Linked DNA regions of Caenorhabditis elegans. The protein of the gene in region 1 purifies or fractionates together with the protein of each later gene. This does not show direct contact. Each region holds a gene or a part of one and is shown in the gene's direction. Other genes may lie near its edges. The genes, in order: capg-1, mix-1, dpy-26 and wapl-1.

Region 1 (9,056 bases):
AATAATCGTTTCCAAATCCATCCAACACGATCCTCAATCATCATTCTTCAAACAAAAAAAATCACAAAATCTGAAAATTATTACCGTATATTCTCTATTAGTGCTGCATCTCCAGTAGTACTGCAGTCTCTAATAGTGCTGCACTCAAAAAGGGTCCGAAAATTAGTGCTGCAGTCTCTATTAGTGCTGCACCCCATTTTCTACTGAAAGAGTCACTCAATACATAGTTTTGACATTCTGGGGAGTGTTTTGTATATTTTTGAAGATTTCTAGTTAACTTACAAACATAATTGAGTTATTAGGTCATTTTTGTTACAAAATTTCACAATTTTAATGGATTTCTGCTTAAAAGGTGAGCATTTGTGACTAAAAACTAGTGATCTCCAATTGAAAATAGCCGTTCGAAAATTAGTGCTGCAGCCTCCAGTAATACTGCAGTCTCTAATAGTGCTGCACTCAAAAAGGGCCTGGAAATTAGTGCTGCATGCAGCACTAATAGAGAATATACGGTATCTCTGTTTCCATCTTGTTTTAACGTTTTATTTATTTTTCTGTTTGTGTTTTCTTCTCCAAACTTGAGATAAAGCCATCTTCCTCCATCGATTTTTTACAGATGTTTAAAAATAATTATTGAGGCAGGTGAAAATTTCCCAACACAATATCATTCTTTCTAACCGCATTTTTCCAGTTTTTCTTATTTATTTACATATAGATGACCTCAATTCTTCGAAAAGTGGAATGGGTTCGAGTAGCAGGGAAATGGACGAAAATGTCCGTCATGGGGTTGGATATTTCAGACGAAACGCTGAAAATTCAGAAGAAAAAGGAGAACGAGAATCGAGTGATTATTTTAATGATTCCAGGTAAATCGGGAAATTGCGCTTTTAAAAATTTAAGAAAATTTTAATTTCAGGAAATCCCGGAAACGAAGGATTCTACGCTCATTTCGGACGAGAAGTTTTGCAAAATTTGATAAAGAAAGATGAAGATGAGCAGAAAAACTTGAAAAATCAATATTTATTCTACACAGTTTCAAGTCTCAATCATGTTCGAATGCCAGATCATTTGAAAGATGATGGAGAACATCGAAATCATGGTAATAAATACAAATAAAACGAAGAACCGTTCACTCCAGCCTTTTAACTTATTTAGTTTCGCCGATTTCGCAGTATTTTTCGCCCTTTTGTTTTTTTTTCAAATACCTAACGAGACTCATGGATCCGGTGCGGAGCGCGTTTTTACGTCGATTATAATATATTTCCAGACCGAATTTCTCTGGAGGAACAAGTCAATCACAAACTATCATTTGTGAAAGAGCACCTGCCACGTGGAAAGCAACTGTACATTTTGGGGCATAGCATTGGTTCGTATATGATGTTAAGAATCATTCCTGAAGTGATAAAAGAAGGATTCCACGTGGAAAAAGCTGTTGGACTGTTTCCAACGATAGTTCATATGGCAAACTCACCAAATGGGAAACGATTACATGGAACTTTAGCTGTAAATTCAATTTCTTTATTTTAATTTTTAATTGTAAACTTTCAGACATTGAACCATCATGATTGGCTCACAAAAACGATTTGCTGGTGGGTGGATTACCTGCCAAACTCGATCAAAAAATTTCTTGTTGGATTGAACCTGAGACATCCTAATGTAAATTTTTTTTTGAATGTCAAGCAACAAAAAACATAATTTTTCAGACTCCCCCAGAGATCGTCGATGCGGCAGTTGAGCTTGTCCATATGGATGTGTTCAGAAATATAGTTCACATGTCAAACGATGAACTTGATATCGTTTTAGACCTAGATGAGCGTCTTTTGGAAAAACAAGACGTGGTTCATTTCTATTATGGCCTCAAGGATGGATGGTGTCCAGTGCAGCATGGTATTGACCTTGAAAACGTTGTGTAGATTGAAAATAAAATTTATAGGATACTCCATGCGGGACAGACTTGGTGAGGAGCAGGTCACATTGGACGAAGACAATTGTGAACACGCTTTTGTTATTTCTGAAGGAGACATTATGGCGAGAAATGTTATAAAATATTTCGATTGATCAGTTGCTCCGAGTTTTCCGTACTTCAACCTGTGATTGCATTACCTAGAATTTTATCTTTTAATAAATATAAAAATATTTGCACATTTTATTGTTTTTCCTTTTCTATGTGTTTGTTTCTAACACCTGTTAATATTTCTTCAATTGATTAATTGATTTTATTTAAGTATTTAACAGGAGCTCTAGTTATTACTGCCAGGATTAAGTGGTGACGAAACAAACTTTATTGCTCTCTACTGAATTCTAGTCTACTTAGGCTTAGTAAACATTAAAAAACCCCTTTTCAATTCCGAAAGTTCCGTTTTTAAATAAAAAATAAATAAAACGGCGCGAAAGCATGTGCGCTCTAATGCAAATTTGAAATCGAAGAGAGCGAAACAGCAGATTGGCGTGCTCTAGTCGTTTCAGTCATTACCTCGTTCTTTTGTTTCTTTGGAAACTGTTTTATACACGAGTCTTTAAATGTTTAAAAAGATATTTTGTAATTTTCCATTTTTGGGACATATACAGATCATTTGTCGCCCCGGTATTTTCACTATCAGTGGAAATGCAGAGAATAACAAGATATTTTAACAATTCGACATGTGTTATTCTTTTTCTGAATGTCTATCTTTTTGTTAATTCATTTCAATTTTCAAATTTTCAGTAACCCACCCCTCTCATGCCACCGAAGAAGCGAATTCGCGGGCCGAAGTTGCCAGCACTTCGTGAGGAAAAATCAACTGGTACAGATGTGGCTTCAGATGAATCATTCAACGAAAGTGCTGATTTTTTGAATAATGAAGAATTAAACAATGATCAAAACGATGCGGAAAATACAGTTTTGAGCGAAGGTGTATCCACTCTTAGAATCAATGAAAACATGACAAAAGAGGATCGAGCTTGTATTTCTGCAGCACTTTTCATAAAGTAAGTATCAAAATGAAAAAAAAAACTAAAGTATTTTATAGAAAAAGAGTCGTAGAATCAATTCGAACAGTTTTTCAATCTCGTGATGATATTAATGATGAAATACATACCAGTTCGCGGAAACTGATTGCAGCATTTAAAAAGGTTAATTTATTTTAAAAATCGAAATAAAAATAATTTTAAAAATTATCCAATTTTCAGGCTGATCAGAATCGTAAGAAAAAGGTCGATTTAATGAAAGTTTTCCTTGATGAAATAGATGTCCGACTTTCAATGATTATCGAAGAGGTGACTGTTCCTGAGCATCGGGCTCGTGTCTTTAAATTAATCGCAGTGACAATAACTGAAATTCAAGCTTTCAAGCTTCCATCGGATCTCCTCGATTTTATTATCAATTTTATTAACACTGTGAGTATTCAATTTAATAAAAATCCGCATAATAAAACTTATTTTCAGTGGGGACATAGTGATAATGTTGCTGCGAGAATTAACACGACCTGCTTCATCAGTTATATATTCGAGACAGGGAAACGATATTTAACAACTGAGGGTGAATATTCTGGATTTGAAGTCAAGATTGCAGCTAAAATGTTTTTACAATTGAAGAGAGCACTGCTTGACAAGGAGGTTTGTTTCATTCAAAAGTTGATTCAATTCTGAAAAGCTGAAATTGAACTTTTTTCAGCAAACCGCCAGAGTTCCAGCTATTCGAGGCCTAGGATTCTTGCAAGAAATACCAATTCCATCGAATTGGCCAGTAGATGCTATGAAACATTCACCAAGAGAACGTAAGTTTTCAAACTTTTATAAAGGCGCACTAAATGAAGCAGCCGTAGAATTCAAAATTAAACTACCATATATTTTTTGGATCAAAGCACAAAAAAATTTATGGTAGTTTAATTTTGAATTTTGCGGCTGCTTCATTGTTTTTTCCTTGCATTTTACTGTTCAAAGTTGTTGAAAATCAGTTTTTTAATCCTTTTCACAGGAAAAACAAACATTTTAAATGAAAAATTCATACGTATTTTGAAACTTGGCCCATATAAAGAAATCCGTGCGCCTAGCATGCCAAGGTGTTGTGAAATTACTATACAATACCAGCGTTTGTTCTTTTTAAATTACAAATTTCAGTTCTTCTCCGTTCCTGTAGAGACACAGCATGGGAATGCCGACTTGTTGCAGTTCAATCAATGGTACCATTAGAAACAGATGTTAGACTACTTTCAGACATTGTCTATTATGACAAGTGTCTCAATGTTCGTGTCGCAGCACTTGAACAGTTTTCAAACCTCAGGCCAAACAAACATGTTCGCGAAAAAATTGAAATGCTTGATTTATGCCTGAAAGACCATGAAGGTTTGTTTGTAATTTATGACTAATGATATTAAATTGTAATTTTCCAGTAAATATTCGAGATGCGGCAAAGGAAGTTCTGAAGAATTGGGTTCGTAATTTGTCAACGAGATGGAGCGAAAGTCAAAAGAGCAAAGATTCCAATGATGTTGTCATTTTGAATTCTAATTCTGAATCCACAACAGGAGAAGAGAATAAAATGAAAGGATATATTCTTGCGGCCCAAGCACTTACATTGCTATGGCTAACGGGTGCTCTTGAAACATTGGAAGGTCACTCAAACTTGAGACGATTGATAACTCATACACTTGATGTTATTCGTCAAATGTACGTCTGTCAAGCGGATCCGATTAACACATTCGCAGAGGTTTTAATTAGCGATTTGAGAGAAAAAATGAAGTCAAGTGCGGTGCCGATTATTACTAAAAGTACTGTTGGATCAATTTTAGATGACAGCGAGCTTGCTGATACGTGAGTTTCTTGCTGGATTCATGGTTTTTTGCAGCAAGATTATCATTTTCAGACAAGATCCAAGCACCAATCGAGCCATGATCTTCTTTTGGAGATGTCTTGTTGATTATATTTCCGATAGAAAACGGAATGATGCTGATAAGATAAACGCCATGTCACGTTTCGTCAGTCCATTGCGCACTATGGTAGAGCATGTGGAAAAGTATGATTTTCTTACTATTTGTTTTATAAGAGTAACAATTAATTTTATTTTTCAGAATTCTCGTTCGAGTCAAGAATCTGGATGTTTATCCGAACATTAGCCAAAGAGCAGACTACGAGGATCACACTTTCGTTCTGCAAATGTCAATTGTTGAGAATATAATATGTGTGATGAGACATGCACCAACAGATCAACCTGGAGTTGATGCATACAAGCAAATGTTAATTTCAATGTTGATGAATGTGTTCTATCAGAAAAAAGTGATTGATCTCATCGTTCAAGAACTCGCACAATTTTACAAAGAAGATCCGAATGCACTGTTCACATTGTTTAATGATAGAATTGAAGAAATGAGATCGAAATATAAAAGTGGACAGTTTCCAGTTATTGAAAATAGTGTACCCGTTGGAGAGACAAAGGTTCGAAAAGATTTAGAAGAGGAAACACGCAAAACCGGCCGACGAACAATTTCAGACAAAGATGTAAGATTTTATATAGATTATTTAATTTTCAAAATTTGAAAATGTTTCAGGGAATCGCAGTTATTGATCTCTACGAGTTGAAAGTATTGAATGCTTTATTGAAAACTGGAATTTTACTTGGATGGAGTACAACCTATCAGAATAGATACAACAACAAGCTTCGCGAGGGTATTTCATCGAAAGATTTGAGTACTCGTGTTCTCTGTACTGAATGTATTGGTATTGGTGCAATCTATGATTATGATCAAGCAGAAAATACTCTTCGTGAAATGATGAAGAGCTTTAACACCCAAGATGAACCAGTTCAGTGTTCATTAATTGCTGCGCTCACTGATATTCAAATTGAGCATGGCGATCAAGTTGACGCTCTGTTCAGCTGGAATTCAAAGCAACCCAATTTTGCAGTATTTCTATCGGATATTGTTGTCAATGCACATGTTTCAGGAGAATGTGAAACCATGTTAAGAGCAGTTGAAGCAATTTCAAGACTCTTCTTGAATACAAAAATTGACCCGAATCAACAAAAATGGCAACGTACAATGGTTACACTTATGACTCGAGCTTCATACGCGATCACTAATCGCTTCTCCGCTAAAGTTCGCAGTACGATCATTGTGATGCTCAAATTCTTCTGCTCTATCAACAAGTAAGCTTGGCTTCTCATTTCCTGGGAAACTGATGAAAAAAATTAAAAAGTTATTTTCAGAAACAATCAACTTCTTCTCATTAAATCATTCCACAATTTCTTCGATATGTGGGCCAACTCTACGACACCCGAACGGTTGACTGAAAATCGCCATGAAATGGTTACAAAGCTTAAAAGATGTGCAGCCACTTTTGTTGCATTGACTCGTCATTCCACGCTTCCATTGGAAGAACAGAAGAAGGTATGCCGATCAGAGTTGAATCCGATAATTTATTTTTAGTGCGAAAAATAAGCGAAAATCTCGCAAGTCTAAAACTTTTTTGTTGAAAATTGAAAGGATTGTGCACAAAAAAATTTCGAATATTTTTCCTCCTGCCTTTTTTCAAAGTTTTAAGTTTTAAACAGTTTTTTTGGAGCAAAAATATATTTTCTAATCCAGAAAATACATTTTTTAAAGAAAACAATTTAAAAAAAAAACGACATCACTGTGCGCCGCGTCCAAAACACCAAAAAATCCCGAAATTTTTTCCGTCAGTTTTCAGTGCAATTTTCAAAAAAAAAATCAAATTTGGGGATTTTTTTGCGTTTTGGACACGGAATCACAATTCCTAGTGCCATTTTTCGAAAAAAAAGGTGTAAACTTTTACAATTGTATGAGGTTTTTAGTTAACGACAGGTTAACGACAAAAAATCGATTTTAAAAAACTCGAAAAAAACGAAAACCTAAAAATTTTCAGTTGTGCTACCGATAAATAGTTATGAATGATTTAATTTTCAGTGTAAACCAACACACGTCGACCTTGTGGATGACATATTTCACGAAATGGCTGGAGCTCCTGATTCAACATCTGTCGATTATTATATTTGTGCTCTTAACTTCGTGGAATATCAGAGTCTCAGTAGATCAGCTCTCACAAAAATTCATGGAGATTTAGAATCGTATATATTTGTAAGTATATACCAAATAATTATAAATTATTCTAATTTGAAAACATTCAATTTTTAGCTCCACGAATTAGACGGTGACAAGCATCGATACAACGAACTTCGAAAGGCTCATAGAAAGATAGCGAAAATTCTCGGATTGAACGAAGATGAAATTGAAGAAGTGCCAAGCAAAACTGACTTAAGAAAAGAAGCAGCGCCGTCCAAAACCAACAAAAGAAATGCGAACTTGATCAGCACGGATATCGCAGTTGATAATGATGTGAATATGGAAGAAGATGATAAGCCTGGCCCATCAAGACCCGCTACTGTTAGAAAACCGAGAGCTCCACGAGCAACTCCAGCGTCTGCCACGAAAAAGAAACCTTTAGTTGAAGAGGATGCGTTGGAGATTTTGAAAAGTCCACCCAGAAATACTAAAAGTGAGTTTGAACAGATCGCTTCAGTATTTGGTTTTTCATAACGGACTGAATATTTTCAGAACCACCATCCCGTCCAACTACAGCTACCCGTCCAACTGCAGTTGCAGCTCGCACAGCACCTCCAAGAAGTGCACGTAAACTGAGAAGTGAAAAATGAGAAATTAATAATTTAAATTGACTTGTGCTTTTCGATCTCGTTATTTATTACCACTTACATTTTAACCTTTTTTTCCTCGAACACGTTTCCCAATTTTTATGAATTTAAATAACTTTACCTTTTCCGCCATATTTCTTAATTCTCTAATTTCATTTCCTAGAAATTATTTATTCGACTATACAAACCACCCAACAATAATGCAAAATTCTCCACTTGGTCTCTTCATATTCATCATCATTATTACCCTACATGCAACTAAGGCATTCGATGTAAAGTTTTCTTTTGTAATTCGTTAACTTCCACAGAAAATTCTTAATTCTATCAAATAAATTCGTAGATTTCAATCGAACACCCTTCTGGACATGGCACTTACTATCGATTCTTGTTCATTTACGCATCAATCTCGGGGCTGATGATGGTTGTTTTAGTAATTTCGGCGATTATCTCGATGTGCAGAAGATACAAATTGGTGGCTAGTCAAGAGGATGAGGTAAAACATTAAAAATTGATTTTTTCCAGATATAAATATATTTACAGATTTCGGAGCTCCAGTGATGAGCATGTAAATTTAACTTTCTACTGAAAACTCTTAATTTTTCGAATAAATATCAATACGTTAAAAAATGAATTTTCGCTGCGAGACCCGTTGTGACAAACTGGTGCACCTTTAATACCTGTTTCAAGTACAATCGGAAAGTTTATAATAATTTATTATTATTTATGATTCTAATAGAAATTTTGGTGAAAATATGAAAAAAAAAGTGAGAAGCTTACACGTGTGATCAATACCACGCGGGGATCGGGGATGGAGGGGAAAAGATATGGAAATTTCTAGTGAAAATAATATCTAAATGGGCACAAAATTGAGTTACAGGGAGCAAATGTGTGGGGGAAGGCACTTTTGAGAAGAGGAATTTTTTTTGGGAAAAACATTTGAAACAAAAAAAACTGAAAAATATAGGAAAATCATGTACAAAATATGAAAAAAAAAACGTATCACAGAGTGGAGAATCAGAGAAGTTTTGATTAGAATACGAGAGAAAGAGAATTAGACATCAGAAACTTCTGAATCTGGATCATAAAGTGGATTGTCTACTCGTAGAGGATCAGCTTTCTCCTTTTTGGGTCGAGCTGGAATTGGTGGCTTCGAGATTTCCGCTTTTGGGACTGCAAATAGAAATTATTATACTTCAGATATTCGTTTAATTTACTTTAATCTATTGTGATCTACAAAAAATGCGGGAATTGAGACACATCGTTTTTAACCAGTGCGCAAGGTGAGAGCGTACGACGTCACACTTTTTTGTGCGTAACTTATTTTATTGTAGTTATGGGACAGCCTGCCACCATGTGAGCCCGTCAGATATCAGTAATATCACATATCACAGTAATTCTTATTGCAACTCACCAATAA
Region 2 (5,849 bases), on another chromosome or scaffold:
GCAATCCAAGGAGTGTCACCAAGCGATTGCAGCATTTATGACAAAAGGAGCAAAGAAGTAATTGTTTTGTGCCCTCTTAAGTTTTACCTTTTTTGTAGATTTTTTATGTATCTAAAAAGAATTATGTGTATTTGATTGAACATGTGCAAAAACAAAATTAAATGATTAATTTACAACAATAGAATTTTAGCAACATATAAATAAATGAATCCATAAATTTCGAGTAAAAATGAAGAATATCAACTGCTTTGCTCATCAAGAACTATAATCTTCTCACGAGTACATGAATCACAAGCTGGTAGCCGAATAACAATGTACGATGGCTCCTTCTGGTAGACCTTCTTATCACAAATCGGGCAACAAAAGTTCGGAGTATGTACTAGATGTGGTCCGTCGACGACAGGAGCCAACTGATACGACTTTTTCAGAACTGGAGGGCACAGATCATCGTTGGCTGATCGCTTTTGAGCAGCATTTCGAACTGAAGCCATATCCGTCCTCCGGAGCAAGACGGGCGGAGCAACTTGTTGATACTCGTGATCACTTCGGTCTCGCTGGGGTACGAGCATCTGGTCGATGGTGGCGTACGCGAATTCTCCATTCATTAATTGGATCTGAAATTTCAAAGCTTTAAAAAATATACTTTATAGAAGTTTTATGAGCATTTTTCTTCGTTTTTTCTAGAAAAGCTCTGTTTTGATCCAAAAGTTGAAAATAATTACATTTTATCGGATCAAAACAGAGCTTATCTTGCCTAATTAAACAGAAAAAGTAAAGAGTTTCTCACCTTGTACTCCGAATCGCCTCGAACATATTTGACAACCGCATCTTGAAGACGACCATCAGCTGTCCGAATTTGAACGGTTTCTCCAATTATTGGGCTTCTTGTAGATTCTAAAATAATTTGGATAATTAAAATTAGTTCAAATAAGCTTCTGAAACTCACTTCCAGCTTCCAACTGTTCATGATGATGATGGTGATAACTTGTTGATGGAGCCTGATCGTTGTATGCAGAATCTTGAGCTTTTTCTTTTCTAAAAATAATAAAAATATAGTTAAAATTCTACGTGTTGACCTACATGGGCGGTAGAGCAAGTTGCACAAGTTGATGGACATTTTCAGTGCTTAAATTGTTTAAATCAATGTTCAAATTGGCGATTTCGGAGGGGGAAACATAGAATTGCTTCTGTTTTGATGTAATATTGACTCCACCATCATTTGTCAGAATAATATGCATTGCATTATCGATTATCTGACCATTCCCATCATATTCTTCCTCCGGCCCATTTCCATCACCTTCAAATTGATTTTCAATCATTTCGTGATGAACCATGTGATGATGTGAACCATCTTCTATGACAACTTCTTCATTGTGCTCTTGCTCGTTTTGTTTCGCCTGTCGTTGTTGACTAATCGCCACCACAATGTTCAGCTGCTCTTCGGTGAGATGATTAAGCTCAAAGCCTGCTTCTACATCGAAACCCGCTTCGTACATGTCTTCCTGCGTGATTTGAACCATATTCTGAAATATAAATATTCTTTCAATTCATCGAAAAGCTTGAAATACCATAAACTGTTGATCACCATCCTCCACAATCATATCTCCTTGTTCAAGATCTTCCGGCTGCTGCTGCTGCTGCTCAACAATTTCTTCTTCATGCTTAGCACTTTCAACTCGAAGTGGGGCCTGATCCTCGTGGAAAATATGATCTTCATCGGCAGGATATACACCTTCTGGGGAGGATCTGGAAATTCCATTTATTAATTTGAAAGAAAATGTGATTTTTATTCTTACCCAGGAATTTCTTCTTCACGGCCTGTTGTTGGGCTAGCAGGATTTTCTTTTTCGGAATCCATATCTGCAACGATTTTCGTTGTTTAATAAAAATTAAAAAATAAAAATTAATAAATGACTCTAAATTATAGCGAAGGAGAAAAAACAAAGGAGAAAAAAATTACAAAAATCACAAGGCAACTTTTGCGCGTCAAATCTCATACATTCCAGTCCGCAAACACTCTCACGCCACTCTGCACACTTCTCAAAAGACGCGCCAAAAAACATTCAAAGCTCATTCGGCTTTCGAAATAAACATTTTCTCAAACTCGTTATCGACTTATAACTTATTTTTGTTCAAAATCAATTCGACAGGGTGCGCTCATAATGCACATTAAATCCATCCATCTGGATGGCTTTAAATCGTACCAAAAGCACACCGATATTCTCGATTTTTCGCCGACTTTCAACGCAATCACCGGTGAGTATAGTTTTGTGCTGAAAACTAATAGTTTGAAAAACTTTAATTTCAGCATAAAATATAGTATAATAATTGTTTTATTTCAGGATACAATGGTAGTGGAAAATCCAATATTCTCGATTCGATCTGCTTCATTATGGGAATCAATAAGCTCGATAATATCAGAGCAAGTATGTGGCTCTTTCTCATCACAAAATTATTTTGTTGTCATAGTGATACTTACGCGCTTTCGGACTGAAAAAGCACAAGATCAGAGTAGCATAATATTTCTAGCAAAGATTTTTTAAATTGAAATTTAGAAAAAAAAATTAAGTCAAATATCATTCCAGAATCAATGCACGAGCTGATTTCCCATGGTGGAACAAAAGCGATCGTCCAAGTTCGCTTCGACAACACTGATAAAAGATGCTCCCCGTTCGGAATGGAACATCTCGACGAGATCGTCGTTCAGAGAATCATCACAGCTCAAGCAACTGGAAAAGGATGTGCAACGAGTTACACACTGAATGGGCATGCGGCCACAAATGGAAAAATGCAAGATTTCTTCCGTGGCGTCGGTTTGAACGTGAATAATCCACATTTTCTCATCATGCAAGGTCGTATTACTACGGTGCTAAACATGAAGCCGGAGGAAATCCTCGGAATGGTTGAGGAAGCAGCTGGAACAAAGATGTATGATCAGAAGAAGAAAGACGCGGAGAAAACAATGTTTTTAAAAGATGCAAAACTCAAAGAAGTTGATAGAATCTTCCAATCAAGTATTGATCCGAGAATGGTAAAGTTCCGTGAAGACAGAAAGAATATGGTGGAAGTGACTCGTCTCAAGAAACTCAAAGAGAACTTTTCCCGAAAATACGAGGCGTTTCAATACTTTCAAACATGTGAAGCGGTGAAAAAAAGTGCAAAAGAGATTGAAGATGCCAAAAAGGGAATTGAAGATCTCGGTGAAAAGTTTAATCAGCTTGATCTTGACTTGAAGAATAAGGAAGATGAGAAGAAAAAGATGGAAGAATCTCGAGATGATCAACATGAAGAGGCTGCACTTTCAGCGGCTCATCTTTCGAAACAATCTATAATGCTTCAGAAGGAGACTGTCAAAAATCAATTGGTTGAAACAATCAATAAACTCAAAAAGGAAGGTGAACAAATCAACAAAAGCTTGTCAAAAGATCGTGAAGTTCTCGACGCAAAACGAAAAGAACACGAAGATTCAAAGGCGGCTAACTCGAAAGATATTCAAAGTCAATCTGATGATGAAGCTGTAAGTTCGAGAAATTATTCTAAAAATAAAGTTAAAAAAAAACAATTTCAGCTCGTCACAAAATACCGTAATGACCTCGAATCCCTAACGAGAGGAACAATTGCTAATGACAAAGGAGAACATGTGTCGATTGAGAGTGAAATACAGTCTTGCAAGTCGACTGCGTCTCAAATGTCATCTGGGATTACTGCTGCGAAGAAACGGTAACTTTCCTGAGAATTGGAACAAAAAATCTAATTTTGTTTATGTCGATAAGAATAATGACAAAAATTTTGAGATATTTTAAGAAAAATCGAAAAACAAAAAGTTTCGTTTTTTCGCTTTTTGAAAACGTCAATGATAGTTTTTTTGCGGATACTTTCAATGAAATTATTCTGTCGTTTTCTCTTCAGTTTTCTGTTTAAAAAATTTTAAACCAGTTTTATACTATTTTTACATTGAAAACTGGTTTTAAACAATTTTTAAACAGAAAAATTAACATAAAACGATAAAAAATTGACTACAAACGATGTAATTTCATTGAAAAATTGCAAAAATTGAAAGAAAACACAACATCGAAAAAATAATGCATTAATTTGGAAATTCAGTAAATTTAATGGGACAAAAGAAGAAATGTACTTTTTTAAATAGGAATATCATTGAAAAATTGGCAATTTATTTCAGCGGTGAACGTCTACACAACCAAATTAAACATTTGGAAGGCGAAAAAGCTACTCTCTCAGCCAGAAGTAAATCTGACATTGGAAGTGCCGATAATTATCAAAAAGAGGTATCAGATATTTCAATTTTTTTTTCTCCGAAAACTTAAAAATATTCAGGTCGATGAGATCAATAAGCAACTTCAATTATTGGGTTTCAATATAGATGCTGATACGGAGAAACGAGAACACGCTGCAAAATTGCATGAGAGCATCACTAAGCTCAAGGATATGGATACGAGACTTCTGAATTCATACAAGTAAGGTTTTGTGTGAAAATTCATTTTAAAAGAGTTATACCGTTTCAAAATTTAAAAAAAAAAACCTATTTTCATAATAAAACCCGAATTTTGTCAATTTTTCAGTATCGCAGCGAGCGGAACTTGGTTTTTATTCAATTATCGCCTTTTTATTGCATATTTAAATATGAAAAAAAAAAAACATATATTTTTGTAGTATATTATGCGTTTTTTTTTCGTGAATTCAGGTGCATTTTCTGCACATTTTTGGTGAAATCGACCGAAAAGCCATCAACATTAACGAAAAAACGTGCAATAAAGAGTGATAATTTACTACGAACCAAGTTCCGGCCGTTATGACACTGAAAAGTTGGTAAAATTCGAGATATTAGCTTTAAAAAATAGTTTTCTTTCGGAATTTTGAGAAAACTTTTTTTAATTTTAAAACAGTTGTTTTTCAAAAATTAATGCTTTTTTTCAGCTAAAATTTCAAATTTCGCGAATTTTTTTTCGAGAGTTTCGGCATAATCAACTGAAAAAGCACCAAAATTTAGGAAAATTGCGTGATAAACTATCACAATATGCAATAAATTGTGGCTATTTAAAACCAAATTCCGGCCGTTACTACACTGAAAAGTTGGCAAAATTCAAGATCTTAGCTGAAAAAAATAATTTTTTTTAAATTTTGAACCGGCATAGCAAATTTTCAAAACGTCTCAATGATATTTTTGGTTTTTTTTTCAGACCAAAAAACAAAAAAAAACGAAAATTTAATTTGCAACATTGAAGTTTATTTTTTTAAACAAATTTTTCTTTCCAGGGATGGTCGATATGCATTGAACTACCAACGTCCTCCACTACATATCGATAAATTTGATGAAAAGCGGGACGTATTCGGATATGTCGCCCATCTTATCAAAATGAAACCAGGATGCGAGCAATTCGCTGTTGCTGCAGATATTGCTCTTGGTGGTGTGGTTAGTTGTTTTTTTTTAAATTAATTTAAATATCAATTTTGAAGTGTCGGCTAAGTTTATCACTATGACACATTTGACAAAAGATTTGAAAAAAATAGAAAAAAAGCCACAGGGAAAGTTTAGAGAAAAGTTTAAAAAGGAGGGTTTTTTTGGAAATTGAAAAAAAAAATTAAATAGGAATATAAATAGCAGGAAAAAAAATTGCAAGAACTGTAGACAAATTACAATTCTCGTGAAGTTGGAGTAATGTATCCGGATTGTGGTTCACGGAAAAACACATATTCGGTGTAGTGTGCCCAACGTTGCTCTTCATAGTCCCCGCAGTTTCTGTGATTCATGAGCTCCTGCAAAAAAAATGAAATGGGGAATGTAAAAAGGAAATTTTCAATTTCGTCAAGTGGCCCACACACACATACAT
Region 3 (9,241 bases), on another chromosome or scaffold:
GCAGTTCACAATCCGTGGCGACAAAGAGCGTCAGAAAGATTGGAAGGCGAGCATCCGTGTTGGAAGATCTTCGTTGAGGTGAGCATCAAGACAATAATCCCTTAAAATACTTCTGTTTCTCAAAACTTTATATTCTAGAACTCACATGGAAGCAATGACCATCGACTTCTACGAGCATATGAATCGATGCAGTGGAAAGTGTCAAAGCAGAAATTATGTGAATGCTCCATCTGAAGAGGTGCTTCAAGCTCGGAAGTCCAAGAGAACATCTGAAGCCGGACAACTTAAATATGAGATCGAAAATGAGATGGCTGGAAAAGAGGCGGATAATGATGATAATAGAAAGAGTACGACCGATAATTCTACAAAAGGATCTAGTTTTGACATGTTCTCTCAATATTTTTCATTAAAATTTAGGAATAATATTTGTTATGTCTAAAAATAACTTATATTTTAGTTGGAACAATCGGAAAAGTGCTCAAATATTGTCTCAAAGTTTGAGATTTGTGAGCATCTTTTCAACTATTCCAACTTAAATATAAGTTTTTTCAGATAAAGGAAACATTATTCTATATTGCTAGAACATTCTAAAACTAGCTCCTTTTGTATAACTACCAGTATTCTGGAAACATATCATTTTTCAGGCGCCAAAAAAGCTCGTGGACGTCCACGTGGAAGTGTCAACAAGCCCAGACAAATGGTCAAAATGGAGCCACAAGACGATCGTTTCTTCGAGGAGTTCTTCATTGATGCGCCACCACTGCAATCAATGTCATCTAATGAAGAGCCAACTTCTTCAAATAAGGAATCCAATGAGTGCACGCCATTCAATGATATTCTCAATTGTCTGCAGAACGGTAAGCTATTTGACATAACATTTATCACTAATTTATTTTTATTTCAGATCCTATGAATTTCTGGTCTCAAATGCAACAAACCGGTGTTATCGGTCATTTCTGCGACGACATCATTGTCAGTGCAATCAATCTGAAACAATCCGTTATGGATAATCCTGTCACTCCCACCACTGCCAACATGCTCACTCGTACTGCATTCGCTCTCGGAATTCCACCTGTCGTTGTTCATCGTGTTCAATCGATTGAACGAAACGCTTACCAACAGCGGAAACATGACGAAATGTTTAACGATATTCAATCAACTTTGGCCGAGGAGCACAGTGTCAAATATCAGCCGAGAACATCATCTTCAAGTCAAGAGAGTCTTCACACTGCTCGAGAATTTACAGAAGAGAAGGTTGAGGAACTTATTGATGTTTGCAAGTACGACGATTATCCAGAATCTGAATGTCTTCCAGGACCTAGTCATATTCAATAATTAAACAATTACGGATTTAATCCACAAACGCACAAATAGTGTGTGCATTTTTTCGTATGTATTTTAGAACTTCATGTTTTATAGAATATAATTAAATTCTGATCCAGTGGAATAGCCCACTGCTTACTTGTGAGCTTTCCCCCCTCAACATACCGGTGAAAATTGTTTGTAGTTCTTCTAGAATGTTTCATGCCTTTATAATGAAATCGTGTTCATTTGAAATTTCTATTCATGTTTTACAAACTCTTACTCGTCACAACGTAATACTGGAATATCTTTTAATTTATGTTTATTTTTTTTATATTCAATTTTCAACCTCATTCTTTTGGAATTAAGACGCCTTCATCAACAACATTATTGATTGCGTCGACTTGATTCCAAAAAATGAGTTTCACACGAATACTCATCAAAGTGTCATGGCAACAAAGAGATAGAGACGAAAATATATCATTGAGCAAACAACAAGCTTTCAGAAGGGCACAATCGGTTTTCAGATGAATAGAATTTGTGCTAATCATCTGCTAGCGGATTTTGTTCTTGAGAGAGATAATACTCCGCTCATAAGTAAACAATTGAGAATTAAATTCGCACAAAAGCATAAATCTTCATTCGCGAATATTTTTATTACTGTAGGGTCTCGCCACGAACAGATATTTTCTGTATGTGTCCCTTTAATTGAACTGTAGCTTTATCGATCGGTCGAAGGCATCAGAAAAACTTTCTTTTTAAATATATATTTACTTCATAACAATTTCAATCAATTTGTGAATTTTTTACATTCTCTTTGGATTCTCAGTGTGCGAACTGCCTCGTTCCCGCGTTGACAACGAGAGACAAGAGTCGCAGACGACTAAACATCATTACGAAACTCCGGTCTCCCTTCGACCCTTTGTTTAGCAACGAGGACTTTTGAATTGAATTGTGCTTCTTGTTTGAATATATTTTATTTTCTCCTGCTTTCTATTATCTAAAATTGTGTTTTAATTACAGGGAAATGGATGTACCATCATCCAGCAACGTCACTGGACGCAGAAAAGTAAAAAAAGAAGAATGTTCTGCTTCTACCAAAAACGTAATGTTTTCAGAGACAAGTTCTAGATGATGACGAAGATGATGGCTTCAGATCTACCCCATTGCGTAAAGTTCGAGGAACTAAAAAAATTAGGCCAGCGGATGTGGTGCCAGAAACAATTATGACAAAAATTGGCGCCCATATCGACGATATTGTGAATAAGAAAAAAGTTGGAGAGCTCAACTGTTTCGAATATAAATCGCCGCTTGAAATTCATACAATCGAAGATATGATCAAAGCAAAAGCTTCAATCCAAGAGATGGCAGTTGTGCTCGAAGGAGCTCAGTGCATTATTGGTTATCGAGTCGATCGGCTTCACCACGACGTTCGACAAATTGATTCAGCTCTCTCGAGTGGTAATTACATTTTTTTTTTAATATTCTTGGAATTTATCGTTTCTTTTTATTACAGGAACTGTTATGCGAGATTCAAATGGTGAAGAAATTCATTTAACACTGGAAAGCAGAAAAGCTAAAAAGAAAATGGCTGTTGTTGACGGAATGAATGGAATGCTCGATTTTCTCAATAATATGGATGATGCTCTGACAACCACCGAACTTGACGCAGACAATGATAAGAATTGGAAAGAAGATGAGGAAAATATTGCCGGAGAGCCACGAATTGATTTCAAAGCCAATTCCAAAGATGTTGACGCATTTCTTCAAAGAGACATTTTCCCCGAAAAACTCATTTATGCATTGTCAATCAAACGAGCAACTGATCTCAGAGCTGACCTTCTCTCTGATGTTTCCAATTACATAAGTGCTGATGATACGGCTCATGATCTGAAAGACGCAAATATCGATTGGCTGAGAGCTAACCCGACATTTCAAAAGGCAACGAAAGGATCCGTGTGCAATTCATCAAACTCGTTCCATTCTCTTAATTATTATGGAATTCATTCTCCCGATGGACGAACTCTTATGTTGCATAATCGAATTGCCGATAAGAATGCTGATGATCGGTTTTTCACGTCCGATGTGTCTGTCTCACTTGTAAAAAATACACGAGCTCTCCTCACCAATTCATTAGACAAAAAGCCACGAATTCTCGACAACTACTTGATGCTCGAAGTCAAAGATCGCCCAGTTATTGGGAGATACAAAATAATGTCAAAGGATGTGAAGAAGTCAACGCTACCATTGGCGGAATCGTCTCGTGAGAAAGATCTCGCCAACTTGACATTCGCAGAGATGAATCATCGGCCTTCAAATCTGGATATGACGGTGGCAGGAGCATCGGATATGTCAATGCTTCCAGGAAATCAAGGATTACCACTCGCCCAGGGAGAAAACGATGAGACGATCGCTCTAGATAGGCTTACACCTCCTCTTCAGTCGTCTGTGTCACAGAAAGCGAGTGACGAATATGTTCTTCCACCTCTTGAAGCTGTAAGTTTTTTTGCGCGCCTCTGAATACATTTATGATATAAATTATTTTCCAGAATGATCTCGATGAGCATCTCATTGGAAAACTGCCAATTGAGCCGAATGAAATGGATCAAACATTAGCCAACATGTTTGATAAGAAGCTGGAAGTGTTCAACACATCTGATACACTTGAATCAAAAGTCTGGAAAAATGGAATACGTGCAGAAGAATGGGGTGAAGATGATGAGGCAATTATGAAGAATGACACGAAACATCCACGTCAGGCTGGAATCGAAGGTTGGATTAAGGCAACTGATGCATGGACCAACTATGATGTTGTAAAAATGAATGTAAATCGAGAAGCTCGTTCTCAATTGGATGAAAATGCGATTGACGAGCAAGAATCGTATAGAAATATGGTTCCGGAAATTGGAAAGAATTTGTTCTTGGTGAAATCGGATGATTATATGAATAACTATCCTGGAGATCGTCCAGCAGACTTCACAGTGAATGATGAAGTGTCTGATGTGATGAAAATGTGGTCTGGTGAGGATAGTACAGCTGAAGATGATGTTCCGTTAGAACAAATTCAACAAGAAATACGGGAACAAGTGCAACAACAAGATGTTGATATGGAGCCTATTGAGGAAATGGATTACGATGCCGGCGGTGCTGCTTTTGATGTAGACTTTGATGATCGACTTGCAGCTCCGGTTGAAGTTGAGGAAATGGAAGGAGATAATAATAGAAATGATGGAAGGGTGGCTGATATTCTTTTTAATGAGCAGATGGATGAGTAAGTTTCAATTTTGAATTGAAAGTTGATTCTGTTCGGTTTTTTGTTGCCTATAATGACAGAAGAACGTTTCAATATAGCAAAAAAAACCGTTATTCATTTAATGTAGATAAATGCAAAAATTTATTTTTATCCATTCTCACCTATTCATGAGTGTCGAAAAATGCAAAAAAATACAAAAACTAGACGAATAGGGGGGAAAATGTATAAAAATACATTTTTTAAAAAATTTTCTACATCACATGAGTAATGAATAACCACAACTATTTTGAGATTTCTTCAACAATTTTGCAAAAAAAGTTAAATCTTTTCTGAATTCCCGCGCTTCCCCTATTTTCGACATTTTGAGTTTCCGGCAATATTAATTGGATACTCTTTGCTTTTTTATAATTTTACCTTTGAAAAACGCTAGATTCAACATTTTTGAAAAGACTATCCACATTTTTTTTCAATTTCAGAACTGAAGTAGAAGAACGAAATGAGCAAGATGTTCAACGGGAGCTTGAGGACATTGCACTTGCAGCCGATGAAGTTGCAGAGTTGATGACTTCTGCACCACCGCCACAACTTGTTGGACCATCTGCAGAAATGCGTGAAGAGATTCAAAATATCGGAAAGAACGACAATGCTCATTGGGTTCCACCAGTCGTTGGTGATCAAGAGAGACAAGCAGCGGTTACAGCACAACGGAAACGGCGAGAAAAGAAAGCGAAGAGCAGAAAAGCCACTGTCGAAGATTTCGTTCATTACTTCCGTGACATTCCTGATGACGAGATTGAACGAGAAATTACTGCTGCAAAATGCTCTAAAATTGCTGATGAGAAGAGCACTTTCCTTTCGGAACAACAGTTATATCTTCCAACTTTGGGAATTGAAAACAAGCCGCATGTCGCTTTTGAAATGGGTCTTCTCGGTAACAGCGGGATGTTCTTCAAGAAATCATATGGGAAAATACGACTCGAACGTGTCAAAAATCAAAAGGCTGAGCAAGATTTGTTCATTGATGAAGCCAGAGGAAACAAGGATTCGGATTGTCTCAATTGGCTACTTTCATTCAGTGGATTCAGGTGCATGGAGTGAGTGTCTAGGATTAAATATATATAAAATTGTTAATTTTTCAGAAATCCGGAGCCTATCACTGGCTCTGACTCGGACGAGAATCTACGAACTGCCGTAGAGCAACCGTTTGATGACGATTTTGCCAACGATTATTACGTACGTTTCTGTTAAGACCTGCCGGTTTTCCTGTCGGTTTTCTGAATAATCGAGAATCGAAAAATTTTCGTTGTTGATTTTTCCAGTTAAAAAAAGCTCGTTCAAAAGTCCAAAAGTTTTCGACGATCGATACCGTTAAATAGCTCAGACGCGAAATGTTGCGACTTTAGAACAAAAAATACAGTACCCGGTCTCGACACGACAATTTTTTATAATGAAGCCGAGTGTGCGCCTTTAAAGAGTACTGTAGTTTTAGACTATCGTTGATGCGATGTTTTCGGTGATTTTTCTATAAAACAGATTTTTTAATTAAAAATTGAAATAAAGCACGAGAAAACAATTCCTTTTTAGTGTATTTACAGATTTTAATAAATAAATTTTATTTATTGAAAAATCAACAAAAATTTTGCAAAAAATGCGTCTTTTCGAGACCTTGATACCGTATTTTCGGAGAGAAAACTACAAAATAATTCGGCATCTAATTACAGGACGAAGACAGATACGATCCAAACTATGAACAACAACTCGCTGCTGCACAAATGGGTCCGGATATGCAGGTAAAATTAAGACGGAATATTTTTTCCAGTGCTCATTGAACATTTTCAGAGGAAACTAGCCTTGACCGCAAGTCACATTAATCAAATGTTCCCGAATATCCATTCCAAACGATACGGTGGTGAATACGGAGATTCAGATGATGAATTTGACGATGTAAGTTTAACAAAAAATTTATATTAAAAAAGTTTGTATAATTTTCAGTCATTCGATCGCCAGTCGATCCAGGCAAAGAATCTTGACGCCGCCAAGCACAAGAAGTGTCTCGCTGAAATTCTGAAGACTGATAGTCTATCGATGCCTTCAATTCAATATGTTCTGGAGCAGTTGACATCTAATCAGACTCTACGAATGAATAATACAACTATCCGAGCTGCCGATGATCGTAATGAAACCGGAAGACCTGCAACACCGACAATGGAGGCCGACAAAACGTTGACGTCAGTGTTTGACTATAGATCACCGAACAAATCGAATCACGATGTGAACGAAACGATGAAGGCACTAACAGAGATGCCAGATTATCAAGCAGCAGATGAGCGTCCCAATAATCAACCAACTACATCTACATATGGAACTGCTAACACTGAAAATAGAAAAGTGCATATAAATGGATGCCATACACTTCTTTCGTTGGCACTTTCAATGCCTTCCAGAATGGGAGAGACTGTTAGGCCCTCGTCTATCGTCAGCTTCCTATTGCATATTGCCAATGAAAATGTATGTTTAGTTTTTTTGAGTTTATTTTTTCAAACTCATTCTAAATTTTCAGAACTTGCAAATTGTTCAAGATCGATCAAAGCGATCCTGGATGTCTGATTTCATTGTTCTCAATTCAAGTGAAAGCCTACCACGTGGTCTGAAAATGGGAAGAATCGAGGATCAAGACGAGTTCTGGAAACGAACTCAAGATCCGGACGCCATCGAGGGTACGGCTAGCGATGCGAATAATGTGTTCTCGAATTTGATGCGACGTCCGAAGGCAGTACCAGTTCGTAAAGGTCGTGGAGCAGGTGGTCAACCTACAACAAGTGATCTCGGAGCAATCGTAGAAGAAGAAGAAATGGAAGAATAAGCATACTTTATTAAATTTCTCCATAAAAAATCATTTATTTTCGGTATCAAAATTGAATCTCAGAATCCACCCAATTCGATGTATTTATTCATTTTATCTCTCATTTCTCGAAACTCGAAGTTTCTTTATTTATTTTTCTCTCTCTGAATTGAGTACCCCGACACCAAAAATTTTAAGTTTTCTGTCAAATCACTCTTTACAATGAATATTCAATATGATATTCGAGCCATAAAACTTGTAGAATTCTAGGGATACAAAGACCCTTTCTGATTCTTCCGAAAAAGCATTCACTGATTCCATAAAAATTACGAATTCAGATGTATAGAAACGGGATCCGATGGATTACCACTAGCACGGCGGCTCTGAAGGGACCCAGAAATTATGTGAATCGAAAAACGGGACGTGGATGTGGAAATTCGGTTCTTTCAAGATTCGAGTGGAGATATGATAAGGTTCTTTGGAAATTAGATTGAAAAATATAAATTCAACTTTCGTTTATTACCCAGGCGCGAAATTTTGCGATTTTCGCGCAAAAAATACAGTACCCGGTCTCGAAACGACAATTTTTGTCTAAATGCGAAAGGGTCTGCGCCTTTAAAGGGTACCGTAACCGCGAGCTCAACGAAATGAGAGAAAAACTTTAGAAAATCAATGATAAATAAATTGAAAACATTTTTGATTTTTCGGGAAAAAAATTAGAAATCGAAAATTAATTTTTTGTCAATTTAAATTAACAAAAAATGTCAACATTTTTATCAAATTTTGTGTTTTTTTTTGAGAAAAATTACAAGAAACCGTTAAGTTTTCTTCTATAACGAAAAAGATTTTAAAATGTAGGCTGCTTTTTCGGAATTCAATTTTTTTCGAAATTTTCTAGAGGCGAAAAATCGAAAATGACATATTTTTCTTCAACATTCCAACAATTATCAAAATATTTTGTATTTTTGGATTTCTTCTTGATATCAAAAAAAAGTATTTTTTTTCGCAACGAGAAAGTTACAGTACTCTTTAAAGACGCATGTCTTTTTATATTTTACAGAAATTCGTGTCGAGACCTCTGGTAATAATGATCATGGCTCCACCAGTTTTCTCATCCCAACAACAAGAAATTTCAGACATTGGGCAAAAACTTCCAAAAAACGATGGGCATGAGATACGGTATCGATATGGGACTTGAAGATCGACTTCTACTCGTCTCTCTCGGAACAAAACAACGACGTTTAGACGACAAAAAAGTTGTTCAGCTGAGCAGAATCCTTGAGGAACGAATCGCCGAAGTCGTCGCAACAGATGAAATGCTCGGGCGATTACAACTTCAAATTACTCGAGTACGAGTTGATCGAGCTTTCACACAAGTGTCCGTTTATTGGATGTGTCGAGGTGATGGAGATTCGGAAATTGTTGATTTTCTGGAAGAGTCGAAACACCAGATAAGACGACGAGTGGAGGAATCCATTGGAATTACGTGTCCTGAAGTGAAGTTTATCGGGGATAAAGCATTGTTGATGGAACAGGAAATGGACAAGTTATTCCGTGAAGCAGATTATGGAATGGATTATCGATTATTGAGTAAAAGTGCACGAGTTTTGGGAAATGTGAAGGAAGAGAGCCCGAACAATAGAAATGTACCTAGATGGTTGACTAGCATAAAGAAAAAAGTTTAAAAGAAGAAAATTAGTTGTAATCATTTGTTTTTAAAATTTGTTTTTTAGTTTTTTAAAATTTTTTTAAATGAACCTTTTTTCATTTTAATTGAAGTTTTCTCTTGCATCATAACTGGTTTATACCTGTGAAATACCTATTAATTTATATTGACTTATTAC
Region 4 (7,037 bases), on another chromosome or scaffold:
AGGTTGCCATCATTCAACGGGGGATTCTTGAATTTCCGATCCTTGTCCACATTCCAGATGACACCCTGAGTCGTCACGGGTACCATGGTAACGATGCCTGTGTCGGCACGATGAGCCAGCGTGAAAGTGTCTGGAAATGGATTGGTTAATCGGTGAATTTAGGAGAGCCAGATGCGTGCGGCTGAGCACACAGCGTTGGTATCCCACCGCAGCTGCTGCTGCTCACAGCGAGATACTCAGGTCATTCGGAATATCGAAGACACTTACCGTTGAATATCGAATTGGCAATCGCACCGCATGGAGCAATTGGCTTCTTTGTCGCAGGGTCAATGTCGAATGGAGCACAGTCCTTCACGTTCTGAAAGCAATTTAAAATTTAATAAACGAATATTCTATAGCGTCGCTGCTTCAAATTTGAATCAATTTACCGTCAAATCTCCAAGATATTGCTGATCATTCCGGCTTTTCACGTATCGCCGATGATTTTGATAGTAATTCTCGAGATTATAGTACAAGAAGACGTCTCCGTCGAACGCATTTGGTAAATTAATTTGCAATTGGCACGGTGATAAGCAATTGGTGTATTCGACGGTGAACTCGGAAACCGCGTCGGAAGCGATGAATAGGAAGACGCCGATGGGTAGAAAGATGGCTCCGATGACGAAAACCGTTGGAATTACTGTGGTTGCTGTGAGAATCGGTTGCCATGCGGGGAGTTTTTGCTGTCGAAGGGCGCTTGCTGCAATAAAAAGGGTTTTTATGAAGCCAAGCGTGGTATTTTTGAAAATATTTGAGACCCCAATCAAACAGGATTCAGTGGGCGGAACCGAAATTGTGAATTTTGCAGCCAACGCACGCTTTTTCAGCAACCCTCGCGCGTTTTTTACCGTGCGAGGGTTGCGCAAAAAGCGCGCGGGTGTTGCGAAATTCAAACTCTCGGCTCCACCCACTGTGAATTCCGTTTTCGAAAATACTTCAAAACTTCTGGCTTAACTGAAATTTGTTGGAAAAATTACACGAAAAACTCACCCTTCGGCCGATTTTTCAGCACTTTTTCCGTTTGAACCCCGTCAGCACCAATACCACTCACTTGCGTCGACGTCGGAACGGCGTCTCTCGGCGGCATTCTAAACCAACTTGATATTTTTGTGAACATTTTAATCGAAAAATTAGAAATGAAAAGATTTGGTCGAAAAGGTTAAAAAAGGACGAATGAAACGCAGTTAGTTCACAAACAACTGACTTTATGCGTCATGGTGAGGCCTTTCTTTGCTTCTCTAAATCTCTTTCTTCGCGTTTGCCGAATCGATTTTTCCCAATGTTCGTCCTTTTTGAAACCTGACTCATTTCACAAACAACTGTTTTTTGCCAAAATTTCCAATTTCCAAGCTCGTAGTGTTTTATGTAAAATAGCTTAGAAATTGCAGAATTCAACTGACCAACGACTATCTGCAAACATTTCCATTCGAGATCTTTATTCATTTAAAAGTGGGAACATTTGAAATGCTTGATATACAGACGGTTAGCATAGTCAACTTGGAGTTGAATTGGGGACTGAGTAGCGGCCGAGTATCTGGCTTTACAAAATTTAATTTAAAAAGTGAATGGAGGAATGAAACAAAAGAATATTGGATGAGGCAGTGATCAAATTAATTCGTCGCCTATTGGGGAGTGATAGATGAGAGATTAATTTTTGGTGAAATTGAGAAAAATATTAGATTATTTAGATATTTGAGGTATGTCCAGCATTTATTGTGGTCCTTGTCCTGGAGCTCCTGGCTTTCCTGGGACTGGGGCTCCCTTCTTGTTCATCAAATAACGATGGATGTGTGGGATGACTCCTCCTCCGGCGATGGTGGCCTTGATGAGAGTGTCGAGCTCTTCGTCTCCTCTGATAGCAAGATGAAGATGTCTTGGGGTGATACGCTTCACCTTAAGATCCTTGGAGGCGTTACCGGCCAACTCGAGGACTTCGGCGGTGAGATATTCGAGGATGGCAGCGCTGAAAAAACAAATTTTAGAATTTTATTATCAAGAATATGGAATCAGTACCTGTATACTGCGGCAGTAGCTCCGACACGTCCGCTGGAAGTGGTTCTCTGCTTCAAGAAACGATGGATACGTCCGACAGGGAATTGGAGTCCAGCGCGAGCACTTCTCGATACGACCTTCGATTTGGACTTTCCGGAGTCCTTTCCGGCCTTTCCTTTTCCTCCAGCCATTGCGAACTAGATTGAAGCTTCTGAAAACAAGAACAGAATGTTTAAAAAAATCGATAAACGTTCCACAAAATGTTGAATTACGATAAAAGCGAAGAATCTCCAGAGAAACAATGATGAAATAGTGAAAAATGGGTAAAAGCAGTTCAGAAACACCAGAAAGAATACATTTTACTTGATTTTCGATCAAAATACAAACAAAAACATTAGTGCAAAATCGTAGTGCAATTTATGCACAAATGAACAGGAAAACATTCGAACGAAGAAATCAACTCTCAAAAGCGCGCGCAAACGAGAGACTCCTCCTTTTTGGCACGCTGCCAGCTAGTTAGATACGCAAGGGTCTCGCAACGAGGTGGGGTACGGTCGGGTGTGTAGATTTACGGCGGAGCTCTCGGTTTGCAATTTTTAAGCGCGCGAACCGGTATTTTCAATAAAATCGGTTTTAAAATCGAAGCTTGAAGGGTTCCGGTGACAAATATTCAAATTTCAAGAAACATGTCGTCGGATGCTAATTCGGACGACCCATTTTCCAAGCCGTAAGTCGATAAATTTTTTAAAAACGGAGACAAAAAATAAAATGATTTTTTTCAGAATCGTCCGAAAAAGATTCCAAGCTACACTAGCACAACAAGGTATAGAAGATGATCAGCTACCATCAGTACGCAGTTCCGACTCCCCAGATGTTCCTGACACTCCAGATGTACCTGTGAATCAGCTTTCATCACCACCACTAAGCCTTCCGGAAACGCTTTCAGAAGGAAATGCTGAAACAGTAAGCTTTATCCAGCCATAGTTTATCATATCCTATTAGCTTCAGAATCTGAGCGACGACAGCGAGCCGGAGATGCTGAGCCAATCTTCCACCTCCTCCCTGAACAGAAGAATGGAAGATTCGGCAATTGATCCGTCTAGGGGGACAAGGAAATCTCAAAGTCGAGGATTCGATTACGATCCGGCTGGTGAGAGGACAACGGCTCCTGTTCAGAAGAAAAAAAAAGATGAAATTGACAGTAAGGATATTATAAATTCAAATTTAAATGAACGTTTATGGTGTTTCAGTGGGTGGTGCGAAATTCTTTCCGAAACAAGAGAAGAAGCACGTTTATACACACAAATGGACAACAGAAGAAGATGACGAAGATGAGAAAACTATTTCTTCATCGTCAAATCGCTATTCCAGTAGACCAAACCAGCCAGCAGTCTCTGCACGACCGGTTAGTCGACTCCAATGTAAATGTATTCAGCAGTAAATTATTTCAGCGTCAGCCGGTTTATGCGACGACATCCACCTATTCGAAACCTCTTGCTTCTGGGTATGGATCTCGTGTCAGGCATATCAAGGAGGCTAATGAGCTGCGGGAATCCGGAGAATACGATGATTTTAAACAAGATCTCGTCTACATTTTGAGCAGTTTGCAATCTTCCGACGCATCGATGAAAGTCAAGTGCCTCAGGTAGTAAAAAAATGTTTTTGGACGAAATTAATTATCAAATTTCAGTGCAATATCTCTTGCGAAGAAGTGTGTCTCTCCAGATTTCCGCCAGTTTATCAAAAGTGAGAATATGACAAAAAGTATCGTCAAGGCGCTTATGGACTCTCCGGAAGATGATCTATTCGCGCTGGCAGCTTCGACAGTTCTCTATTTGCTCACAAGAGACTTTAATTCAATTAAAATCGATTTTCCATCGTTGAGACTTGTCTCGCAACTTCTGCGTATCGAAAAATTCGAGCAACGTCCAGAAGACAAGGATAAAGTTGTGAATATGGTCTGGGAAGTGTTCAATTCGTACATCGAAAAGCAAGAAGTTGGAGGACAAAAGGTGTCATTTGATATGAGAAAGGAAAGCTTGACTCCATCATCACTGATAATTGAAGCTCTCGTTTTTATCTGCAGTCGCTCTGTGAATGATGATAATTTGAAAAGCGAATTATTGAATCTCGGAATTCTCCAGTTTGTAGTTGCGAAAAGTGAGTTGGAGTTTTTTTGACCCAATATTAAAAATATGAAATTAATTTCAGTTGAAACAAATGTAAACTTGATTGCGGACAATGCCGATGATACGTATAGCATTTTGATTCTAAATCGATGTTTTAGAATTTTGGAATCAGTGAGTCAATTTTCGAATTTCACAATTTTTCATATTTCCCTTTTTTCAGAGTTCCGTTTTCCACAAGAAGAATCAAGCGTTTCTGATATCTCATCGATCGAATATTCTTATCAGCAGCCTGGCCAAGTGAGAAATCGTTCAATTAATGCAAAAAATTATTATATTTTCCTTCAGATTTCTCCAAGTAATTCTCGATAGAGTTCATCAACTTGCAGAGGAAGAAGTCAAAAAGTACATCTCGTGTCTGGCCCTGATGTGCCGTCTTTTGATCAACATCTCGCACGACAATGAGCTATGCTGTTCGAAACTTGGTCAAATTGAAGGATTCCTACCAAATGCGATCACAACTTTCACATATTTGGCGCCGAAGTTTGGGAAAGAAAATAGTTATGATATCAATGTGATGGTGAGAATTGAAATTCAAAAATTGGAAATAAGAGTTTTTAATTTAAATTTTCAGATGACTTCACTTCTGACCAATCTTGTGGAACGATGCAATGCGAACCGAAAAGTTCTGATAGCCCAGACAGTTAAGGTTTGTGAAAAGAAATTTGAACTTTACATTAAAAATACTTTAATTTCAGATGGTGATTCCCGGGCACGACGTTGAAGAAGTTCCAGCATTGGAGGCGATCACACGGCTATTTGTCTACCATGAATCTCAGGCTCAAATTGTCGATGCCGATCTGGATCGGGAATTGGCGTTTGATGTATGTTGAATTCAGACCCGACGAAAAGGATATTAACGAAAAATTGGCAAATTAACCGACAAAAAATTTAAGATTTTGAGTTCTAAATCCCTGGCAGTTCGTAGAGTCTGCAGGAGTTGTGGCAAACTACGCAAGACTCCTGAAAAGTTGCGCAAGATTATGCAGGAGTTGTGCAAGATTGTAGCAAGAATCCAAAACTTCTATGCTACAGTACACAGGAGTTTCACTTCATCTGGGACTGTTTTATTGTAGAACACGCTGGTCCCGTGCCAGATACCCTTTGAATTAATAATCAAGATAAGATTTAAAAAATAACAAAAAATATTTTTCAGGAAGGAGGATGCGGAGACGAGGAAGAAGAAGAAGAGGGTGGAGACGAAAGCAGTGACGAGGATGGTGTCAGGAAAGACGGACGGCTTGATCGGAATAAAATGGACAGAATGGATCAAGTGGATGTAGTTCATGCTCTTCAACAAGTCATGAACAAAGCCTCGGCTCATATGGAAGGCAGTGTAATCGCTTCTTACCACGCTCTTCTCGTCGGATTCGTTCTCCAACAGAACGAGGATCATCTCGACGAGGTTCGGAAGCACCTGCCTGGCAAAAACTTCCAAAATATGATATCGCAATTGAAGCGGTTGTACGATTTCACGAAAGCTACGATGGTAGGAGTCTGAGTTATTTTGAATTTTCAATACATAAAAGTGATTTTTCAGGCGAAGCGGGTCGAATCAAATTCGGGATTCCGGGCTATCGAGCGTGTGATTGAGTACCTCGAGCGGCTCGAGTGATTTAATGTTTATTTCTTGATTCTTTTTTTTCTGTATAATGCTAAACTTTTTCTCATTTTTCAATTCACCTGTATCACTTATAGCACACTCTTTTTCCCCTGGCACATTTTTCAGGTCACTTTGATCTCGGTTATTTTGTTTTTTTTTTGTTGAAATGTGTCCCTATTTGATTTTATGACGAGGATTGGTGATTATTTTGTGAATTTATGATAAATCCGTGATTGTCTAAACAATTTTCGTTCGTTTTTATAAAACTTACTATTAGCTGCGGCGGATTATATAAATTGGCATTGCGGCGAATTCTATCACCAACTCGCAAGCTAATACCTCTTCAAGAGTTTAAAATTCAGTATTTCCTAAACTACAGTAAGCATACAGTACTCCTACAGTACTAATATTATAGAAACACTTAATTCTAAGAATGCGTATTGCACAACATATTTGACGCGCAAAATATCACGTAGCGAGAACTACAGTAATTCTTTAAAATAGTACTGTAGCGCTTGTGTCGATTTACAGAAATAATTTATTAATCGGTGAAATTTTTACAAGAAAAACACATAAATTACGAAAAACAATTCGAAAAAACCAGAAAAATTAATTTCGAAAAACGAGCCCGTAAATCGACACAACCGCTACAGTAGTCATTTAAAGAATTACTGTAGTTTTCGCTACGAGATATTTTGCGCGTCAAGTGTGTTGTGCAATACGCATTCTCAGAATTTAGTGTTCCCGTAATAAAATGCCTCGACATTATCCTTAACCTTAACCAACTCCCAAGCCAATACCTCTTCAAAAGTTTACAATTCAATGTTTCCTAAACTACAGTAACTCTACAGTAATCCTACAGTACCCCTACAGTACCACTACAATACCTCGGCATTATCCTTCACCCGCGGAGCTCAAATTAGAAGGAAATTGTTTTTCAGCACAATGAAGGCTCATAACTTCCGTTAGCGAAATTTTTGTGATGTTTCGTATAATAGCCTTGTCAGAGTCTCAAATTCGACTACACCACCGTGTACAACAAGAGAGTTAATTTTTTTTGTGTATACTGAAGGCGAGAAAAGAAGAGAAGATCGATTAGTTTATTACATTCCAAGACTAACAAATAAATAATATGCTAGTAAATGAGTTCACGTTGATTGATCTTCTTTCCGGGTCCGGACCGGTCCCACCTAAAATTTCATTCACAGGTTCACCCA

Evidence for each region.
Region 2: the proteins of capg-1 (region 1) and mix-1 purify together in Caenorhabditis elegans (affinity purification with western blotting; one study listed by BioGRID). This does not show direct contact.
Region 3: the proteins of capg-1 (region 1) and dpy-26 purify together in Caenorhabditis elegans (affinity purification with western blotting; 2 studies listed by BioGRID, with this or other methods). This does not show direct contact.
Region 4: the proteins of capg-1 (region 1) and wapl-1 purify together in Caenorhabditis elegans (affinity purification with western blotting, with the first as the bait; one study listed by BioGRID). This does not show direct contact.

The regions. Positions count from the first base shown.
Region 1 is NC_003279.8:7,633,424-7,642,479, reverse strand, and holds capg-1 (Condensin complex subunit capg-1), read left to right. Parts: upstream 1-2,694; 5' UTR 2,695-2,716; coding exon 2,717-2,964; intron 2,965-3,005; coding exon 3,006-3,108; intron 3,109-3,165; coding exon 3,166-3,372; intron 3,373-3,420; coding exon 3,421-3,591; intron 3,592-3,649; coding exon 3,650-3,752; intron 3,753-4,095; coding exon 4,096-4,320; intron 4,321-4,367; coding exon 4,368-4,788; intron 4,789-4,840; coding exon 4,841-4,990; intron 4,991-5,045; coding exon 5,046-5,472; intron 5,473-5,522; coding exon 5,523-6,118; intron 6,119-6,178; coding exon 6,179-6,359; intron 6,360-6,896; coding exon 6,897-7,067; intron 7,068-7,124; coding exon 7,125-7,485; intron 7,486-7,544; coding exon 7,545-7,642; 3' UTR 7,643-7,988; downstream 7,989-9,056. Other genes in the region: ncbp-2 (Nuclear cap-binding protein subunit 2), read left to right, coding at 1-5; F26A3.1 (Lipid droplet-associated hydrolase), read left to right, coding at 713-863, 914-1,096, 1,265-1,500, 1,546-1,653, 1,701-1,884, 1,931-2,055; lrp-1 (Low-density lipoprotein receptor-related protein), read right to left, coding at 8,691-8,809, 9,051-9,056.
Region 2 is NC_003280.10:10,822,222-10,828,070, forward strand, and holds the start of mix-1 (Mitotic chromosome and X-chromosome-associated protein mix-1), read left to right. Parts: upstream 1-2,024; 5' UTR 2,025-2,162; coding exon 2,163-2,256; intron 2,257-2,342; coding exon 2,343-2,426; intron 2,427-2,585; coding exon 2,586-3,517; intron 3,518-3,568; coding exon 3,569-3,720; intron 3,721-4,180; coding exon 4,181-4,286; intron 4,287-4,335; coding exon 4,336-4,475; intron 4,476-5,274; coding exon 5,275-5,431; intron 5,432-5,466; exon of another isoform or gene 5,467-5,652; coding exon of another isoform or gene 5,653-5,775; intron 5,776-5,849. Other genes in the region: ech-4 (Delta(3),Delta(2)-enoyl-CoA isomerase), read left to right, coding at 1-61; R06F6.12 (uncharacterized protein), read right to left, coding at 240-614, 788-894, 947-1,035, 1,081-1,523, 1,569-1,746, 1,797-1,858; VM106R.1 (BTB domain-containing protein), read right to left, coding at 5,653-5,775. UniProt on the Caenorhabditis elegans protein: Essential protein required for both chromosome condensation and segregation and X-chromosome dosage compensation depending on its binding partners.
Region 3 is NC_003282.8:12,444,379-12,453,619, reverse strand, and holds dpy-26 (Condensin complex subunit dpy-26), read left to right. Parts: upstream 1-2,284; 5' UTR 2,285-2,329; coding exon 2,330-2,371; intron 2,372-2,420; coding exon 2,421-2,763; intron 2,764-2,818; coding exon 2,819-3,798; intron 3,799-3,851; coding exon 3,852-4,573; intron 4,574-5,031; coding exon 5,032-5,649; intron 5,650-5,694; coding exon 5,695-5,788; intron 5,789-6,276; coding exon 6,277-6,345; intron 6,346-6,394; coding exon 6,395-6,499; intron 6,500-6,547; coding exon 6,548-7,063; intron 7,064-7,115; coding exon 7,116-7,418; 3' UTR 7,419-7,735; downstream 7,736-9,241. Other genes in the region: Transcription regulator spe-44, read left to right, coding at 1-78, 139-347, 645-857, 905-1,335; C25G4.3 (Ribosome-binding factor A), read left to right, coding at 7,736-7,870, 8,534-9,082. UniProt on the Caenorhabditis elegans protein: Required for both chromosome condensation and segregation and for X-chromosome dosage compensation depending on its binding partners.
Region 4 is NC_003282.8:4,441,421-4,448,457, reverse strand, and holds wapl-1 (Wings apart-like protein homolog 1), read left to right. Parts: upstream 1-2,717; coding exon 2,718-2,758; intron 2,759-2,813; coding exon 2,814-2,994; intron 2,995-3,033; coding exon 3,034-3,232; intron 3,233-3,281; coding exon 3,282-3,436; intron 3,437-3,482; coding exon 3,483-3,676; intron 3,677-3,721; coding exon 3,722-4,191; intron 4,192-4,242; coding exon 4,243-4,331; intron 4,332-4,380; coding exon 4,381-4,457; intron 4,458-4,505; coding exon 4,506-4,737; intron 4,738-4,791; coding exon 4,792-4,866; intron 4,867-4,915; coding exon 4,916-5,041; coding exon of another isoform or gene 5,042-5,050; exon of another isoform or gene 5,051-5,373; coding exon 5,374-5,706; intron 5,707-5,757; coding exon 5,758-5,832; 3' UTR 5,833-6,096; downstream 6,097-7,037. Other genes in the region: CDC50 family protein chat-1, read right to left, coding at 1-130, 268-358, 429-739, 1,030-1,126; htz-1 (Histone H2A.V), read right to left, coding at 1,750-2,002, 2,053-2,222. UniProt on the Caenorhabditis elegans protein: Regulator of meiotic chromosome structure and function, playing a role in sister chromatid cohesion, possibly via antagonizing the coh-3/-4 association with axial elements in nuclei during late prophase, cohesin association with chromatin, DNA double strand break repair and polar body positioning following meiotic divisions during oogenesis.